Linked DNA regions of Arabidopsis thaliana. The protein of the gene in region 1 interacts with the protein of each later gene in a pairwise test. Each region holds a gene or a part of one and is shown in the gene's direction. Other genes may lie near its edges. The genes, in order: AT3G60200, GSK1, SK32 and LSU2.

Region 1 (3,915 bases):
GAAGGAACTCTGCATACTCCTCTGTTCCATCATCAGTCTTATGAAGCTGCAACACTAAAGGCCGTCTCGTAACGATACCTGCACAAACAATACTTCTTCCTCAAAACCAAAGCTCCTCCTTGCTTTATATACAAACATAAGAGAAAAGGGAAAATTTTCACAAACCAGATCCTCTAGGAAGAAAATCTCTCCCAACTATACTCTCAAGAACCGAAGATTTCCCAGAACTCTGCACAAACCCAAAAAAAAAGTAAGTTGAAGAGTCACCAGAGAGAAAACCTAGGAAGAAGTCAAAGATATTTCAACCGGAGAAATCACCTGACCACCGACGACGGCGACGGTTGGAAGAGCTTCCCAGAGAGAATTGAAAGCGTTACTTCCAGTTCCACCACCATAGTCACCGAGTACGGTACATGCTCTCTGTATCCTATTAACTAACCCAATCAAACTCTCCATAGTCGTCATCTTCCTTCTCCTTCAGTTTCAGATGAGAGAATATAAAGTTCCAAAGACGAAATTTTCAGTTCAGAATTAGAAAGCTGCTTGAAAATTCGCCAACAGACCAAAGACTTCAAGAGCTGAGAGAGAGAGACGAAGAAGAAAAATATTCGTAGGGGCAAAATAGGAAAATGAATTTAGAGAATAAATGTCTCTCTTTGATTTCTAGAAGGTTTGATTTGTGTGCCTGTGGCTGTGTGGTTCGGTCGGTTTACAGATAGCTTAGCCGCCGTTAAGGAGTCGTCTGGCTCTGGTTCGTTTTGGTTCGGTACGGTCTGGTTCTTACTTTTCTAGACGGTCAAATCTAAAATAATGAAGATAAGATTTGTGTCCCTTTAATTTGAGATATTTGTAACCTGTTTGAATTTTCGAATTTTGAAATTCCACATGGACCCCTCACACAAATACAAAATAATAAGTCTAGAAACAACAATCAACATTGTTTAGAAGGCCCAATAGATATAGAAGACTTTTAAAAGGACCCAATAATAAAGTTAGGTCCAGGAAGAGGGTAGGAGGCTATATGTATACAAGCGGTTCTCTAGTTTTTATGGGTTTTGTGTTATCCAGTCTGAATTATTTTAGATTTTATTTTAGAAATCACAAACATAAAATAATATTTCTAGAAAATTTTGAATTTCTTAGTACTTGGTAAATAATGAATCATTCTTCACAATAAACATAGACATAAACACAAAAACAATGAGTTTCTCTCAACATCATGATTTAGTTATCAACCAAACCAAACTAAATGACTGAAATAACCAAACTAACATAACATATTCAAACTAAGAAGAAGCAAAAACTAAGTATAGGTTGTCGTTATTTATTACATCATTGATTATCACATGACAGGCCCAATAGACAAGGAGACTTTAGGAAGGCTTTAAAAGCCCAATAATGAAGTTAAGGCCTATTGATGAAATATGAAAACCACGTGGCAATATGTAGAAGAAACGGACGAACATTCGTGTGAGATATGTGGAAAACGACGATGGCTCGTCTTCACCTAATACTTGTCGGCTTTTACCATCCAACGTCACATGCTTCTCTTTTAGGTTTTTTATTTATTTATACAGTTATATCATTGTTTCAAGTCAGTGGCTGAGGTAATCACTACACATCCCATTCAAATCCAATGGTATTGGTCCGTATATTGAATTAAAGAAAGGTCAACCATAACTAGATTTTATCTTCTACAACTATGAAACTATAATGGCGCGTTAGATCAATTTTTTGTAAGTTGGCAAAATTACGAACCAAAAATTGCAATTGAATCACTAACCATCGCATAATTAAATTTTGCATTAAAGAAATGGTTAGTGATAAAATGATCTGTCAAAATGTTGTGCTTACAAATCTCCATTAGATAAATAAATTAGTTTCTCTCTCTCATCTATCTTTTTTTTTGGTTTTCCGACATAGAATGCTATCTCTCTCTCTCTAAGCCTATCTCAAAACAGAGATCTTAGGAGAAGAAGACAAAATCTTTACCACCAGATCTTTTCTTCTTCCTTCATCTTTACAGGTTGTCACATCACTATAACCACCGAAACTCTCGGCCCAACCCAAAAAAAAAAAAGCTTCCTTTCGAAAAAAATCAAAGCTTTTTCTTTTATCTTCAATTCTCCTCCGATGAGGTGTAAAAGACACACCGTCGATCTCAGCAGCAGCAACGGCGTTTGCGCTTCTTGCCTCCGTGAACGTCTCCTCTCTCTCGCCGCTTCCGCCGCCGTATCAGCCGCCGTAGAAGATAATCAATCAAAGAAATCTAATAACAATAATCATCCTCCGCTTTTGATTTTCCCTCGCTCTGTTTCTCCTTACGTTACCCGTAGAAAATCCGACGCCGGAGCCGGTGGAGGAGATCCTTTAGTTTCTTCTAATCGGAGATTCATTACCACGCCACAGATAGATCTCGTCGGATATTCATGCAAAGATTTCGAATCGAATCGATCAAATAAATCAAAACAAGGTAAAAAAGTATCTAGATTCTCGAATCTATTCAGAGCTAGATCTGAAGATTTCGATACCAATCCCAAATCCAACAATCCTAGATTCTCCTCATGCGACGCGTCTGAGATTTCATCTTCTTCTTCCTCTTCACGTTCATGGATCTCGACGATTCTCTCCACCGGTCGACGTAAAAAGCAACCAACCACCGCGTGTTACATCGAAGACGTTATCGCTGCGCGTAGACCTCAACGTATATACTGTAGAGGAATGTCACCTGTAAGAGATACGGAACCGGAGCAGTCGGCGGAATCAATCGAGGAATTGAGGAGAACTCCGGCGACGAAAACTCCGGGAAGGAGGAAGATTGCGATGGGGATAGGGAAGAGCATGTCGGGGATGGCTTTTTGTTTGAGTCCGTTGGTGAGAGCTAGTCCTAACTGTCCGTTTAAACGGAAAATGAGATTTCCATCGGAGTTTGGTAATTCTGGGGAGGTAACGGCGGTGCCGGAAAAGCCTCATATATCAGCAGCGGCGTCGTTTTGTGCAAATAGATCGAAGAAGCTTGTGGATTTAGGTAGAGTTGATCGCCGCCGTTGAGTTTTTTTATTTTGGTGGGATTAGTCTTTGGTCAACGTGTTTGACTATTGGATAGTAAACTACGGCTTTCTGAAGATGGATTTTGCCAAAATCAAGCTTTTTATATGGCTTGTGGTGAATAATCTCTATGGGAAATAGCTCAAACAATACTTTTGTTATAAAAAATTGTAATGTTTTCTGATTGTAATTGTAGAGTTTGAATGGCCAAATATATTGTTCTTAGGAGATTAAGAGAAATAATGTAGTGTGTTCTTGTTTTTTTACTTATGAGAATTACTTACCGATTATTAGGACAAGAAATCAAGATAAAACCGGATCGATTGATTGGTAGAACCGTGGAACCTGATCAAACCGGATCTAAATTCCAAAAAAATTGGACAAAATCAGTATGGGTTCGTATAGCGGTAAGATCCTATATGAACCGTGCCAATAATACCGAATCAGGTTAGTCAATCTATATGTGCTGAAGTATTAATTCAAATGTATTATGTCATATAGTCAAAGACTCAAATGTCATTACACTAAGCATTACGGTTTTGAGTAGTAGTAGTAGTAATGCGGGTGCTTAGATTTTGAAATTTGACCCATGAATTTCTGGCTATAAATAATAAGAGTGCGACAGTTTTGACTTATTTTTTGTCATCACCTTGGAAAAGTTTATCTTGGGTTTCACAGTCCTTCTTCTCTAGTCCACTTCAACACATAGACCTACAAAGCTATATTGGAATCGCTTATGACACAAGTATCAAAATATCTTTTATCGACTTTTAATAAAAATCCAAGTACGACATAGAGTGCTTTCAATTCAACTTTATAAAAGTTGTCTAATAACTCGAAAGAGTTTAAATGAAGAGGGTCCACGGG
Region 2 (6,365 bases), on another chromosome or scaffold:
TCGAATAAAATGTCGAAAGAAGAAAAAAAAAAGAAAAAAATCGTAAACCCTATAATTTTTGCTCAGAACCCTAATTCCGCAAACGTAACCTGTGTTCATTGCGCCGTCTTCTCACCGGAGAATGAGTACTACTACTACTACGGCTGCACTTCCGCAGCGACACCAGTCGAAGGTTGACCCGCAGAACGTTAACAGAGCCGTGAAGTCTCTGCTAAAATGGTGGGACTCCAAATCCAAGACCGAGAACTCTGAATCACTCGAGAACGACGGTTTCGTCTATCTAATCGTGACACTGAAGAGAATCCCTCAGTTGGATCGTACTAACCCCTTGATGATCCCTCTTCCTCATCCTCTCATCGATCTGGTCGCCGAAGATCCGCCGGAGCTCTGTTTGATCATCGACGACAAACACAAGAACAAAATCACAAAGGAAGCGGCTTTGAAGAAGATCGAAGCAGAGAAGATTCCAATCACCACAGTTATTAAAGTCTCCAAATTGAAATCCGATTTACGCAAATTAGAGGAGGAGAAGCGATTCGAGTTGTATTTCGCGGAGAGGAGGCTAATGCCGATGTTGCCGAAGCTGTTGGGGAAAGAGTTTGTTAAGAAGAATAAGACTCCGATTGCGATTAACTTAAGGCATGGTAGTTGGAAAGAGCAGATCGAAAAAGCTTGTGAATCAGCTTTGTTCTTCGTTGGTACAGGTACTTGCAGTGTTGTTAAAGTAGCGAAGTTGTCAATGGGAAGGAACGAGATTGCAGAGAATGTTGTAGCGGCCATGAATGGGATTGGTGATTTAGTTCCTGGTAGATGGAAGAATGTTAAATTGTTTCATCTCAAGTTACTTGAGAGCTTGGCATTGCCTGTTTATCAATCAGTTGCTTGATGAATTTGTTTAAAGAAGCTGATGGATGATCTGGTTCCAGTGAGTCACAAGTTTTGGTTTGTTTTCTTAGTGGAATTTGTGATGCTGTAATGTTTAAGATAATGCCTAGACTGAACAAAACTGTCTAGATTGATTAGAGTGAAACAGATGGTTTTAATACAAATTTCCATGAGTGGGTCTTTTGATTGATTTTACTGGTATCTTCTTTTGTTATGCAGATATATAGTCACATGAATTCTCTAAAAAAGATGGTTTTTGGTGATGTATTGGAAAGAATATTAGTTTTCCTACTCTATTGAATTACTCTCCACAAAGGTAGATTCCATTGATCTTTCTTTGTTTGACAATTGTTCTTGTTCGATATCACAGTAACGGTTATATATCTTTTCACTTTCCAATCCCTTTGACTCAGAGTCTTATTTTTGTATAGTTTACGTTCCCCACTACTGCTTGTTAATCTTACATTTTCGTAAACTAGTCTCATCGTCATTTTTTTTAGCCCTTTGCAACTTAAATTTTATCTTTGTATGAATGCTAACTGTAATTCTTTTGTTGGTTAGTGTAATGAAAAAGAATCTATCGTTAACTATTGTCTTACAAAGGCAACACTTCAGGCTAAAGGGACAAAGAAAAGTCTCTTTAAGTTAAGCTTAATATCTAAATTGGGAAATATGATTGGAGTATTCATTCATTTGATACCATTATTATTCAGTTAGAATATTTAATGGAGTTCTAACTCAACTTAGTAATTTAGTTATCATTAAATGCTAAGGAAGTGTTTATCAGAATTTTTCAGTGCTTTATCAATTAAAAAGTAGTTTTCTCATTGGACCGTTACATTCACGCGCTCTAGTCTTCCGTGGGTCCTCCATTGTCTTTGAACCATTTCTGAAATTTAGAAGCAAAGAGAGAGGAAAAATTAGACTTTACTCATTGTTCAGTGGTTGAGAGAGAAAAGAGTAAAAAAGCACATGGCCTCATTACCATTGGGGCCTCAGCCTCATGCTCTTGCTCCGCCGCTGCAGCTTCACGACGGCGACGCTTTGAAACGCCGTCCTGAATTGGATTCTGATAAGGTTTATTTCTCCCCGTCTCTTTGTTTTGTGTGTTACTGTTACCGTCTGTGTTTGGTAAACAGTGCATTTGAAATTATCGTTTGGTGGCTGTTCTAGATCTACTCCGATCTAGCTCCTACTTTCTTTGTTCTATGTCTTAGTTCAGTCGAATCGATCTATATTCTCGTGCTCTTGTGTTTGTTCGTCGCTTGTATTGATCTGAGCTCACCGGAGAGTTTTTTTGTTTCTTTCTCCGACGAGGCGTTTTGATAGGAGACTGTGATTTTTACTTCATTTGTATGCATGCAGTAGCTAGATTACTCTTGGTATCTCCCAGCTACTACTTCAACCTTCTCTACCGGAGATCTAAGTAGCAGTAATCTTCGAATCTTGTTGAAAAATTTAGTGTAAAATAATTTGAGATAGTTTCTTGCGCTTGGGAAACTTACATTTTCAGTAAACTAGGTTGAATATTTCCCCTTCATATTTGTTTTTGGATATTTCGATTGTTTGTTTCAACACTGTTCACTTTCAAGTACAACAATTTGCTTGTTTGGATATTATTTATTTCAACACTGTTCATTCTACAAAGTACAGTTTACTTGTAGATCTCTGAATTCACTCTCGGTAGGTTTCGGAGTATTCCTTTAGTTATGGTTTTCTTGGCCCATTGCTTCTCTGTCTCTGTCTCTCTCTCTTTTCTATTTGCCATCGACATTTATTCTGAATTTTGTCTTATGGCTTGTCCTTCACTCTGGCAGAACTTCTTCCATTGACTTGTATTTTGTATCTATGATTTTTTTTTTTGTTCTATATCTAATACCCATAAATTGTTTGACGTCTAAAATCACTACATTTTTGAACTTCTATCACCATTGTTTACCTCTGGTTAACCCATGCTTTACTTTATTTTTCTTATTCTTTCTGCATCTTGCTTGAGTGCTTCTATTGGCTTGACAACTGGTTAGTTGGTACATTTTATATGTGTTAGCTTCACGTTTTCAATATAAGTTAATTCCGACCACTTGTATAATAGCAATAACAGCATTCTCATACAGTCATACCTATCCTGAGGTTTGTTGAAATAATCGGATGCAGTAAATGCTTGCCATCTCTATTCCACCTTGTAGTTGATCAAAATAGTTTAATGTCTATACTAATATGTGAGGTGGATTGCAGGAAATGTCTGCAGCTGTTATTGAGGGAAATGACGCTGTTACTGGTCATATCATTTCCACTACTATTGGAGGCAAAAACGGCGAACCAAAGCAGGTTTGATGCTAATGTTTGCAAAATCTCTTAGATAACTAACTAGTAGTTAACACTTACGGTTATAGCACAGTACCATGTGTAAGGTTTCTGCGGGGTCTGGGTTATTCATTTCGCATCAAATGCTCCAGCAAGTGTTACTTTCCCATTAAAACCCTTTTTCAAGTCAAATTAATTCATCTCTCCCTTACATGATCTTCATTCTGTCCCCTACAGACCATTAGTTACATGGCTGAGCGGGTTGTTGGAACAGGTTCATTCGGGATTGTTTTTCAGGTATTTTGTGCTTCTCTGTACTAGCGGTTCCAGGACATAAATTCTCTTCTTTCTTTCTGATCAAGTCTGAAATTTACGATTTTAGGCGAAATGCTTGGAAACTGGAGAATCAGTAGCCATTAAAAAGGTCTTGCAAGATCGACGCTATAAAAACCGTGAGTTGCAACTAATGCGACCAATGGATCACCCAAATGTCATCTCCTTGAAGCACTGTTTCTTCTCTACAACGAGTAGAGATGAGCTCTTCCTCAACCTTGTTATGGAGTATGTACCTGAGACTTTATACCGGGTTTTGAGGCACTATACTAGTTCTAATCAGAGGATGCCAATTTTCTATGTCAAGCTTTACACATATCAAGTATGTACTGTTATTTGCAGTTAGTTCTCACAAATATTATAATTTATTAGAATTTACTCTGAAACTGATTTGAAATATCTATTGTGCAGATCTTTAGAGGTTTGGCTTACATCCATACTGTTCCCGGTGTTTGCCACAGAGATGTGAAACCACAAAATCTCTTGGTACGTTATCTAGCATGCCATGTGGTTTGTAATCTTGACTATTTCTGGATCTCACTTTCTGGTGCATACTGTAGGTTGATCCCTTGACCCATCAGGTTAAGCTGTGTGATTTTGGAAGTGCAAAAGTATTGGTAAGGGTGTTATCTTTTCATTATCTCACCTTTTTTGTGTGTTTTCGGCTTGGTTATGTATCTACGCATCTAGTTCACTGAGCTACCATATAAGTGTGAGTTATACCATTAAGTGCGAGCAGCATGTTCTCTGTTTTGGTAACCCTTTTAAATTTTTGGTAATTCACTATTAGGTCAAAGGTGAACCAAACATATCATATATCTGCTCCCGTTATTATCGTGCTCCAGAACTGATCTTTGGCGCCACAGAGTATACAGCATCCATAGATATATGGTCTGCTGGTTGTGTACTGGCAGAGCTTCTTCTGGGCCAGGTTAGTGTGGATTTTTATGCGTTAATTACCTTGTTAAATAAAGAGTCTCTGCAAAATGCAAAAAGTGCGCACCCAATGTTATATTAAGCCAGTCTCTCTCTCTCTCTACAGCCGTTATTTCCAGGAGAAAATTCAGTTGATCAGCTTGTGGAGATCATAAAGGTGAAGTCTCCTTTATTAGACTAATGGATGTGCTCTTTTTTGTCTTTGGTATTAGACTAGAATCTAGTAAATATGTTACCATAAGTACACTTGCTACCTTGTTTTAGGTTCTTGGTACTCCAACTCGTGAAGAAATTCGATGTATGAACCCGAACTACACAGATTTTAGGTTCCCACAAATCAAAGCTCACCCTTGGCACAAGGTAGTTCATCTCACCTTTTGTTCCTGGTTAAGCAATTACTGAACTCATTACCTACACAGTATACATTGAAGCGATTCATTTATAGCATCAACCATATACTGTACCCTTGACCTCCAGGTTTTTCATAAACGGATGCCTCCAGAAGCAATAGACCTTGCATCTCGGCTTCTTCAATATTCACCAAGTCTACGCTGCACTGCGGTCAGTATCTCCCTCTTTTTTTTATAATCGAAAGTAGTCGTCAGTGATAACTCTTTTTGAATCTTCCAAGTGTTGGATAAAGCTAAGATTCATTTTAACATTTGTCTTGTTCTCTGTCTATTTTTAGCTCGAAGCATGTGCTCATCCGTTTTTCAATGAACTCCGAGAGCCAAACGCCCGTCTTCCAAATGGTCGTCCATTACCGCCATTGTTCAATTTCAAACAAGAGGTAAAAATCAATAGCAAAGGATGATGTTTCTTTAGTGGAACTTCAACATAACCCAATTTGTTCTTTGGATGTGGAAACAGTTAGGTGGAGCTTCAATGGAGCTAATCAACAGGCTAATACCTGAGCATGTGAGACGACAAATGAGCACAGGATTACAAAACAGTTAAAAACTGTGCATGTCTGAAGAGAAAGAGGAGAAAAGCAGGTTTACTACTTTTATTTGATAGTTGACAGGTTCAACAGTATATTAACCACGACTATTATCAGCTTCTATACCCGTAGTAAAGTCATATTCAGCTTTTTGAGAAATCAGATGCTGATAATTGCGTTTTTTTTTTTTTTATTCCGTAGCCTGGAGAGTGGAGAGAGACACTGTTCCTCGTGTATTTTTGTATATGTTTTTGTCTGTAAAACAATTCTGACAGATACGTAGAGACAAAAGAAAAACGAGGTGATAATATTAAACCATGTCATGTCCAAAAGATTAGCTACAGATGTTTTTTTGTTTTCTTCTCTCAACACAAAAGACTAGAGGGATAAATAATCATCCTCTTAAATTAAAAGTCGCTAGATCTATTTTCGAAATGTTACGTAGGTGATGATTTGCATTTCTTCAGTTTATTACAAGTTTACAAATTACAAGTGGTGGGAGTGTTGAAAACAAATTACCAATCATGTACTTAAATTTTAAAGGACCTTACAGGCCAAAGTTACCAAAGCATACACATGATCTTAAAAGTAATCGTTTCTTATTTCTTTTTTGATTGCAAGACCCAAAGAGATTATCATTTGTTGTCTCACCCTAACCAAATCAAGCCAAATCTACAATCCCCCCACTCTAGTTAGAGCAGCAACCCATTCTCTTAAGAACCGATCCGTCTTCTTTAACGTTTATCGTCTCTCCTTTTCCCGGTAAATCAGCCGACTCTCCTCCTCCATCAACACTTCTTTTGCTCACTATCTTGTGGATCTGAGTGAGCACTTCCGTGAATGCGTTTTCAACATTGGTTGCGTCTAGAGCTGAAGTCTCCATGAAATAGAGGGATTCTCTCTCAGCAAAGGCTTTAGCCTCTTCTGTTTTGACTGCCACCAAGTGACGCAGATCGCACTTGTTCCC
Region 3 (6,380 bases), on another chromosome or scaffold:
ACGCGTGGGGTGTGTTGTGGTTAGAAAACGCGAACTGTGAGATGATGATGTTATGTTGGATGGGATCTGTATCGTTTCAAGTTAAAAAAAAAAAAAAAGCTGTCTCTCGTGGAGCATTAAATGTATTTTGCAGGCATATTCATTCATTTAATGCTATACCTTGTCTCCTTCCTTTGCATGATATGGGGCTTACGTATTCCGCCATTTTCGTTGCGCCACGTCATTCCCTTGACAGACTGGTGCGATGAACCAGACGTTACGCCGTCGTTTTCTCCCTTCTGTTTGTTTGGTTCTTTTCTCTTTCTCAATATGTTGTTTTTAAGTTGCAGACAGGAAAAGAAAAACGTAAGCAAGTGAATTTAAATAGCTGTACGGTGGTGGGCTTTATTTTAAAGCCCTGGCCCGTTATGGCTAATGATTCCTAGATCTTATAACATTAATTGGGCCTACAACAATATCATGTGCCATTATTTATCCGTTCATTTTGCAAAGACTTTAGATTGATACTGCACTAATAAGCCCATAAGGCAAGTGAAAAATGTCATTTAATCCCCCAACTTTCAAAAAATGGTCATTTTATATATCAACTTCGTATGTGGCCGTTTAAAACATGAACTAAAGGTTGACTAATTTTTTAAACATGATCTTTCGTTGACCAGACTAAAATAGACATGCCGTTATCAGTCATTAACGGAACTTCTAATGTCCGTTATCATCCGTTAATTTTATTAGTCAAGTTTCAAATTGTGGCCATTTTAAACATCAACTTCTTATTTGGCCATTTAAAACATGAAGTAAACGTTGACTACCATTTAAGACATGAAAAATTCGTTGACCAGGCCAAAATAGACATGTCTTTATCAGTAGAACCTAGAAACTCGTTAATGACTGCTAATCTATCCAAAACAACGTCGTTTGAGAATAATCGAAAGAACATAAAGATTTTTTCCATATGAAATTTCCATATCAAAAAGTTTTAAGCAGAACCCAAGAACATAGTTTGATATAGAGATAACCGCAGTGCCAGTAATTGGAAGCAAATAAAGGTGTTTTCGTTTATATATTTGTTTTAAATTTTAAAAGGAATCATGGAAGCAAATTGAAGACTCATTATAAGATTGTTCGTCTTGTTTGAGCGGTTGTAGAAATAGATTTGGGGAACTGGAGTTTCATTTAGAAAACAATCCTGATTTTCTTTGGATTATTCTCAAAACAAAGTCATTTTAGGGATACTAATAGAGTCGTTAACAAGTGATAATGAATGTTATAAGTTCTTTTAATGAATGATGACAACATGTTTATTTTGGCTTGGTCAACGAATTTCTCATGTTTTAAATGGTAGTTAACTCTTAGTTCATGTTTAAAATGGCCACATATAAAGTCGATGTTTAAAATGACCACAATTTAAAACTTGACTAATAAAGTCGTTAACGGATGATAACAGAAGTTAGAAGTTCCGTTAATGACTGATAACGGCATGTCTATTTTGGCCTGGTTAACGAATAATCATGTTTTAAAAGTTAGTTAACGTTTAGTTCATGTTTTAAACGGCAGCATACGAAGTTGACGTATAAAATGACCATTTTTTGAAAGTTGGGGGATTAATTGACATCTTTTCCCATAAGACAATGGTTCAATCAGTAATAACCACATCCTCATTAACATTCCTCAGATAGTAAACTAACCAATATATGTTTTATTTTACTTCGTTTCTCAATCTAATAGATTACTTGAATTGTTTATAGATTACCTCATAGGATGATGATAATTAATAGTTTAAAATTTTGAACAGAGACATTATTAAAAATGTCTAAAAACAGTAAGAAATTACTAAAATTATCTGTTGCAGGAGCAAAAAGAGGGAAGTGGTCAAAGATGGTCAAATGAAAATAATACAGTGCCCGCATATTCCGCGTGGGCTTAGATGCAATCATTCAAAACCCCCAAATCCTTTTGCCTAATCCCGGGATACGTAAATAGACAAACAATACAGGGGTACTTTAGTAATCACAGCTTGTCGAAATCGGGCGGATTCATCCTAACCCGTCGGATGAGCTGCTGCGATAAATCAACGGTGAGGAGTCAATGTTTGACCAAAAAAAGAGTAGAGAGAGATAGAGAAAGAGAACGAGGCTGGCATGATTGGCTTTGCCCACGAGAGAGAGAGAAAGATTCCACCTGGGTTGGGTCGTGAAGAAAGAGAAGAAGAAACCGAAGAAGCTCGAAGAAGAACGAAGGAGATTCTTCCTTTCCCCAGATTTTTCGTTTGAAGAAGAATCGAAAAACTTAGATTTTTGGTTTTGCTTTCGGAGTTATTCGAATTTGAAATATCTGAATCTGTTGATTCATTTATTCTCCGCATGAAGCTGTGTTGGTGAAGTTTTTCGGAGATTTAGGGTTTCTGAGTTGTTCCTCGTTTGGTTGGTGAATAAAGCGAAGATGAACGTGATGCGTCGTCTCAAGAGCATTGCTTCGGGTCGGACCTCCATTTCTTCGGATCCTGTAAGTATCCATTTTCAATGTCTCTCGTTTCAAGATCAGATTGATTTTATATTTCTGATTGTTGAAATTTTTCTCTCATTCTCATCCAGAAATTACGGATTGATGTCGTTTATAGTATGTTACAAGTCAAATTTAAGCTTTTGAGATCTTTAGTTTTAGATATTCTAGTAAATGCTTATGTTTTTGTATGAATTTGATTATCTCTGCTGTTTCATTGATTTTGGATGAGTATGTTGATGTTGACCTGACTAATTTCGTGTTTTTGGTGTTTGTTTTAGGGTGGGGACTATGCGTTGAAGAGAGCTAAGCTGGATCAAGAGAACGACAACTTGTGTGTTGATCCAATGCAGGTTGACCAAAATAGTTCTTGTTTTGAGATGAAAGCTGACGTTTTGTCACAAGAAAGTGTTGCTGGAACGTCAAATGTGCCTGCTGTATCGGAAAAACCCGTGGATGATCAGCTTCCCGATGTTATGATCGAAATGAAGATTAGAGACGAGCGAAATGCCAACCGCGAGGATAAGGTGAGTTGCTTAATCAATGTATATATCGTCGTCGTGATCTCCATTAGCCACTGCTCACATCTTCATTTGGCTTGTGAAGGATATGGAAACAACTGTTGTAAACGGCAGTGGGACCGAAACGGGACAAGTTATTACGACGACAGTTGGGGGTAGAGATGGAAAGCCAAAGCAGGTCATTCAACTAACTTTTTTTCTGATTGCCGTTGTGTTTGAGAAAAGCTATTAATCATGATAGTCATTTCTTTTATGAAAAGATTGTTTCTCTTTTCACTTCTGTTGGGTGTATCTTTAATTTACTCTTTCTTTCTTGTTTCAGACTATCTCATACATGGCCCAGCGAGTGGTTGGAACCGGCTCATTCGGAGTAGTGTTCCAGGTAGGTGGAAATTCTTATAGCAGGAACATAACTAATCCTTAACTATTTGTGTTCCCAGAATTTGACTTTCTGTCTGATTTTTGGATAGGCCAAGTGCCTGGAAACGGGTGAACAAGTTGCAATTAAGAAGGTTCTGCAGGATAAAAGATACAAGAACAGAGAACTTCAGATCATGCGTTTGCAAGACCATCCCAACGTTGTGCGGCTGAGGCATTCTTTCTTTTCAACAACTGACAAGGATGAGCTGTATCTCAACCTTGTCCTTGAGTATGTTCCCGAAACTGTATACAGAGCATCGAAGCACTATACCAAAATGAATCAGCATATGCCAATTATCTTTGTTCAGCTCTATACTTATCAGGTGAGTTCTATTAGCTCTCCGGTTACTCGTTTCTAGTAATCTGTGTAGCATAAAGCTACAAATACATAGGAAATTTATAATTTCACTTATGCTGATTTTGTCATTTCTGTTGCTTTGTTGGATATCAGATTTGCCGTGCGCTGAACTACTTACATCGCGTGGTTGGGGTGTGTCACCGTGACATTAAGCCACAAAATCTACTGGTATAGTGTGAATAATTTCTGCTTAAAGGTTGGTAAGACGTATGAAAGGATAATTCATTGATTCTCTTATGATGTGGCTTTCATAGGTTAATCCCCAAACTCATCAATTAAAAATATGCGATTTTGGAAGCGCAAAGATGTTGGTATGTTCATTTTTTTTTGATGAGTTCTTGGAGATGAGTTATCATTTGAATAATGATGGCTAACACCCTTTGCGTCTCAGGTACCCGGTGAACCTAACATATCCTATATATGCTCCCGGTACTACAGGGCCCCAGAACTTATATTTGGGGCGACAGAGTATACCAATGCCATTGACATGTGGTCCGGCGGTTGTGTCATGGCAGAGCTTTTACTTGGTCAAGTAAGTATATTATACATTGTAGAGTTTCGGTTATGATGAACCATTTTATTTTGATTGATCAGTTTTCATTATTACTTCGAAATAACATTTAATCTGATAACAACTGTTGATTTTCTACCCGTAGCCACTGTTTCCCGGGGAAAGTGGCATTGATCAGCTGGTGGAGATAATCAAGGTACTTAACCTGATCCCTCGTGTTCCTTCATCTCTCTTCTATATTTAATTTACTAGTTTACTCATCTGTACATCTACCAGATTCTTGGGACGCCTACAAGAGAAGAAATACGGTGTATGAATCCGAATTACACAGAGTTCAAGTTTCCTCAAATCAAAGCTCACCCGTGGCACAAGGTTTGTTAAATAATCGCAGGTGCCTCTTTGGTGCGTGTGCTTGTTCAAATGAAATTTAATGTAGCATATAACTCTTCAGATTTTCCACAAGCGAATGCCACCTGAAGCAGTAGACCTCGTCTCAAGACTCCTTCAGTACTCACCAAACCTTCGTTGCACTGCAGTAAGACTAAATCCTGCTGGACACCACAAAACTATATAATCTCCTTGGCTGATTTGGAATTTTCTAACTCAAATTCTACAAAACACTTTTTTTCCATTTGTTAAGTTGGAAGCTTGTGCACACCCCTTCTTTGATGACTTACGGGATCCAAATGTTTCACTGCCAAATGGAAGAGCACTGCCTCCATTGTTTAACTTCACTGCCCAAGGTCAGTACATATATTATCTTTTACCTTAGCTTCATCCTTACAAAAACTGTGAAGTTATCATTAGCCGACTTTGTTTAGATTTCACAATCATATGTGAAGAGTAGAAATTGCAGCAGAATACAAGAAATGTTTTGACGGATTGGGTCTACATTTGGTTCTGTCACATTGATTTGTTGCCATTGTATGTGACTATTCAGAACTTGCGGGTGCATCAACAGAGCTGCGACAGCGTCTAATTCCAGCACATTGCCAGGGAACGGGAAGTAGCTCTTAGGATCATTTATAGCGTGTCCAAATCCAGCTTTCTTTCTCTCCCTCTATTTACTGCAGTGTGTACATCAATTTTGAACCACTTCTGCTTCCAAGCTTTTGTCGCCGGAGGAGAGATTGGAAATCTGTACGCCGGGACCTGATGAGGTGTGAAATAACTGGGGTCATGAAGCTTCTTCTTCTTCTTCTGACTGGCTTTTCTCTCAATTTGCTATCCTTGTTATTTTCACCTTCACTTTCATTTTTTTGTTTTTTTTTCCACAAATCTGACCCCCCTTATATGTTTGGTGTATCATTTTTATGTGTTTGTAATCCATCAAGATCATTTTCCCTTGCCCTAATATTGCAAGCTAAGATTCCGTTTCATGTTCCTCTCTAAGATGGTTTTTGGGTGAACAAATAAACTCTTAACGACATTTTTCTATTGTATCTCAGGACTGGCACAGATTCCAGGTAAGCTATTTAACTGAAATGCACATGTTGTTTAATTAAAGTTGAAAAGCGAGGAAGATGAATGAAGAGTTAACTAACTTCACAATCGGACGAGTAATTAAACTATACTGTAGGAGTCGAAAGTCCTGTAACTTTGACACGAATTTGTGTTTGGTTAAAATTTTGAATAATTTACTCAACTATTGGAATTTAACCACAAAAACCCCTTTCACTGTCGAATATCTCTTTAGTCAAAAGACAAGAGTTCATACATGTTTAGTCTGTGTGACCTATAGATCAAAAGAAACAAAACCCTCTTTTGGTTTCTGCAATAATGGGTTTTTTAGTACAATAAAGTTTCAGGAAATGGATTTCAAAGCTAATAAAGGAAATGACTCCTTCAATTCAATGCCCATAAAAAGAGGCACAAGAAGGGCAAAACACCTCATACAACCAGAAGAAGAGGGTCTATAGTTTTGCATTGCTCTTGAGTGTTTTCCCATCATTGTGCTCAAAAGATTCATACCCCTTTTACTTGGTAAGATGTTCTTTCATCTTTCCCAACAAGAAAAATCTTAAATGCTATATATCTTACTTCACTCGGGGAACTCCATTCATCTTTGCTT
Region 4 (3,370 bases), on another chromosome or scaffold:
TTATTTATTTTAGCGGACCTGGGCCGACTCTAAATGTTTAGCCCATTTTAACATCCGTACTTTTTATGGTGATCTTGTAATGTTATAAAAACTGGAAATTATTTTCTACATGTATAGCGCTGTTGCTCACGTAACATATATAGTTGCTGATGTAATTGGGTGTTTTAAAATCTATTTAGGATATTTTGGATGAATGATGATTATTTTTTTAGTCAATTAGATAGTGGTCACTGATCAGCATCCATAGAGCATATTCCAACTAAAGATTTCAACAGTTGGTGACCGGTCCCTCTGTGTTTTCCAATATATTTAACACAACTTTACATAATTTTATAACCAATATTGTTTAAGATTTTGAATTATAGCTAAAAAGAGAGAAAAAAACAATATTGATTCGGGCCATCAATTTTTTTGGACCAACCTTTGCTAGGAAAACGAAGATACACATCATAAGGTGACGTATAGAACAAAACGAACAGACAAATAAAGCATAACAGATGTAGTTTGTAAAGAATAAATGGTGTAGAACGAATAGAACAAAAGCTGAATAGATATCTTAATTAGTTTGGTGCGAGTAACGGATAAATGAGTTATCAAATTTTGACTAATGTTTTGAAGTTTCGAAATATATATATGATTGTATTAATCGGTATTTAACGCTTATGATTTTTCAGTTTATACTTGAATCACCCTACTTCTTGAGGTTGGTGTGTTGTCCAAATATGATTCACAAAAACATGACCAAGAGTAAAATCAAACCGCACCGTATTATTTTATTATGCTTCATGACACCATTCATAACCAAAGTCTTCTTAGTTTTCCCCATACACACCAATAAAGATACTAAAGAAATAGCTAATAAGTAATTTAAGAACTATGAATCGTAGCCGTAACTTTAACTATACAAGAATAGCTGTATAATCGTGACAGCCCTTGACTTTGGGAGATATTGTCCAATACTCCAGTTAAGAGAAAGAAGTGGGAATGTGGGTTACATCGACAAAGGCTTTGCTCCAAGTTAATTAATGGCTATAATTGGCGGAATATATTAGTGGAAAATATAAAGGTGAGAAAATGATTTCTACATGCCTTTTAGCAATTAAGAGAAATAGTGGAAAACAATTATTTTCTCTATATTCTATGAAATAGCAAAACAGAAAAGAAAGAAAAAAGAAAAAAAAGAAGTTCCCCTTTGAAATAAGTGGGGTTTCATTGAAAATTCAAATAGTACTACTCTTTCATTCTTTTAGTGTCCAGTCAACGTTCTCGAGAAGAAAATATATTCAACGATTAGTTTGTTGTTACATGAGTTTATTGAATTAAGTTTTTAGAATGAATATATAAAATCTTGAAAATTGGATGCTTCAGAAGCAATTTTCAGAAATTTTGTTCAATTCATGGTAATAAAATGTTCAATTAATTAAAGTCATTTTTCAAGTGCAAGAATGGTAATGTTAGCATAATACAGCGGATATATATATCCTCTTTGAGGATAAAGAGTTGGTGGATATAAATATAACTCATGTTATTTCAATAATAGTCACAATCTTTTCTTTACATGCGTATATGAAAACATATTTGCACAACTTATTCCTGAGTTTAGGACCATTATTAAGACGATGTATTATTATGATCTATTAACATATAGTTGTCTTTGATGAAATTGACAGCTCATTGGGGCTATAATGTAAGAATTGTTCATTACTTTTACTTACGAGCTACAGTTTAGACTTGTATAAATAGATTGAATTACTAGTATTTATGGTCCAGTAAATATGAAATATTCATTACTTTATATGTATAGCAATTAGATCAAAGTAAAATGGTCCAAAATATGTTTTAATCCACTTTATTCAATTAGACAAAGAAATTTATTCATTCTTAGAAAGCAAATACTCCATTTTAAAAAAAAAATATCAGTTTAAACAAATATTTTTCATTTTAAATCCGTTGCCATATGTATTATTGAAATGACAAGAGTTATTATGACTGAACCAATACATTTTACTATATTGATTGATAAATTTTTATTATAACTTATCTCGTGTCTCCTCTAAAAACAAATTTGTCTCTAACCAATAAAACAATTATATGGTACCACTAAAATATTCCAAAATATTAATTGGACCCAACGTGTATATCGAAAATAATTTAAAAGAGAAAATGTTCTAGAATCTAGAGGAAGAAAATAACTCACCAGAAATAAGAAAGAAGAAGAAGAGATATAGATACATTGAACCTAGACATAAAACCCACCCAAACCCCAGTCTCAAAGACGCCTATTAATAAGGAACGTTCAAGAACCAAAACAAAACACAAAAAAACTCAAAGTGACCAAAATAACCAAAAGGAGAAATCTTTAGAAAACCTTTAAAAGTTCTTAAAAATGGGGAAAGGAGGAAACTATGTGACGGTGGCGGCTTCCGAAGTGGACGAGCTACGACGGAAGAACGGAGAGATGGAGAAAGCTGTGGAGGAGATGAAGAAAGAGATGTTGCAGTTGTGGCGGCGGACACAGGTGGCGGAAGAAGCGGAGGAGCGTCTCTGCTCACAGCTAGCCGAGCTTGAAGCAGAATCTTTAGACCAGGCTCGTGATTACCACTCTCGTATCATCTTTCTCATGAACGAGCTCTCTCGTCTTTCTTCAGACTCTGCCTCTGCCTCTCCGTAGAATTAGATAGATATTTGCTTTTAAAGAAAGATAGGTTTTTTAGATTGTTTGATGTATCCTCTTATCGGCTCATATCAATGCCAATATGTAGAGTTGTCTTTAAAACAAATATGGAAGTTTCAATCAAAAAAAAAAATCGATGTTGTTACCGATTGATTTTTGCGATTAATGATGAATGAAAAGTCTTGAAAACAATTTAAAGTAAATGATATTCGATGTTTGGTTTGACTAAAATGGAATTTTGTTTGTAAGACGTGTAAATTACTTTAACAGAAAGAAAATTTAAAGCAATTATGGTCATGTTTCCTATTATTATATGTGAAATGACCAAATTACAAATAAAGATTTTGCTTTTAGATTTTTGCGTATTATATGAAGAAGTGTTTGAATTCTACTGAATCATTGACATTGCAACAGTGGTTTTGGTCTTTCTAGAGTTTGACATAGTAAAATTGGAGAACTTGGTTTGCTTTTGGGAGAAAAAAGGGAAACGAATATACGGATCCAACGCCAGTGTACTATGTACAAATATAAACAAAGGGTTTGTTTTTGAACAAATCTAGTTTCTGACAGAACCAGGTGACCTGACGTGGGCAAACAAGTCTAGTCTTTTTTTTTTGTTAACCAAAACCCTTTAATTTTTCATAAATTGTGATGCAATTAAAACAAACAAATATTTATAATGTTTTTTTTTTTGAA

Evidence for each region.
Region 2: the proteins of AT3G60200 (region 1) and GSK1 interact in a two-hybrid assay, tested with the Arabidopsis thaliana proteins (one large-scale study listed by BioGRID).
Region 3: the proteins of AT3G60200 (region 1) and SK32 interact in a two-hybrid assay, tested with the Arabidopsis thaliana proteins (one large-scale study listed by BioGRID).
Region 4: the proteins of AT3G60200 (region 1) and LSU2 interact in a two-hybrid assay, tested with the Arabidopsis thaliana proteins (one large-scale study listed by BioGRID).

What each region holds. Positions count from the first base shown.
Region 1 is NC_003074.8:22,247,187-22,251,101, forward strand, and holds AT3G60200 (uncharacterized protein), read left to right. Parts: upstream 1-1,705; 5' UTR 1,706-2,133; coding exon 2,134-3,051; 3' UTR 3,052-3,382; downstream 3,383-3,915. Other genes in the region: DL1E (DYNAMIN-like 1E), read right to left, coding at 1-78, 166-229, 319-465.
Region 2 is NC_003070.9:1,945,003-1,951,367, forward strand, and holds GSK1 (GSK3/SHAGGY-like protein kinase 1), read left to right. Parts: upstream 1-1,743; 5' UTR 1,744-1,857; coding exon 1,858-1,962; intron 1,963-3,120; coding exon 3,121-3,213; intron 3,214-3,426; coding exon 3,427-3,486; intron 3,487-3,571; coding exon 3,572-3,844; intron 3,845-3,933; coding exon 3,934-4,008; intron 4,009-4,082; coding exon 4,083-4,139; intron 4,140-4,312; coding exon 4,313-4,453; intron 4,454-4,564; coding exon 4,565-4,615; intron 4,616-4,722; coding exon 4,723-4,818; intron 4,819-4,935; coding exon 4,936-5,019; intron 5,020-5,146; coding exon 5,147-5,248; intron 5,249-5,328; coding exon 5,329-5,415; 3' UTR 5,416-5,848; downstream 5,849-6,365. Other genes in the region: AT1G06380 (Ribosomal protein L1p/L10e family), read left to right, coding at 122-886; ARA-2 (Ras-related small GTP-binding family protein), read right to left, coding at 6,087-6,365. UniProt on the Arabidopsis thaliana protein: Phosphorylates BSK1, BSK3, BSK5, BSK6, BSK8 and BSK11 in vitro. May mediate extracellular signals to regulate transcription in differentiating cells.
Region 3 is NC_003075.7:293,062-299,441, reverse strand, and holds SK32 (shaggy-like protein kinase 32), read left to right. Parts: upstream 1-1,962; 5' UTR 1,963-2,439; coding exon 2,440-2,502; intron 2,503-2,780; coding exon 2,781-3,026; intron 3,027-3,105; coding exon 3,106-3,198; intron 3,199-3,342; coding exon 3,343-3,402; intron 3,403-3,490; coding exon 3,491-3,763; intron 3,764-3,891; coding exon 3,892-3,966; intron 3,967-4,052; coding exon 4,053-4,109; intron 4,110-4,189; coding exon 4,190-4,330; intron 4,331-4,454; coding exon 4,455-4,505; intron 4,506-4,585; coding exon 4,586-4,681; intron 4,682-4,760; coding exon 4,761-4,844; intron 4,845-4,949; coding exon 4,950-5,052; intron 5,053-5,249; coding exon 5,250-5,326; 3' UTR 5,327-5,854; downstream 5,855-6,380. Other genes in the region: BSK3 (BR-signaling kinase 3), read right to left, coding at 6,346-6,380.
Region 4 is NC_003076.8:8,442,773-8,446,142, reverse strand, and holds LSU2 (response to low sulfur 2), read left to right. Parts: upstream 1-2,041; 5' UTR 2,042-2,386; coding exon 2,387-2,671; 3' UTR 2,672-2,864; downstream 2,865-3,370. UniProt on the Arabidopsis thaliana protein: May be involved in defense responses monitoring. Probably implicated into osmotic stress signaling.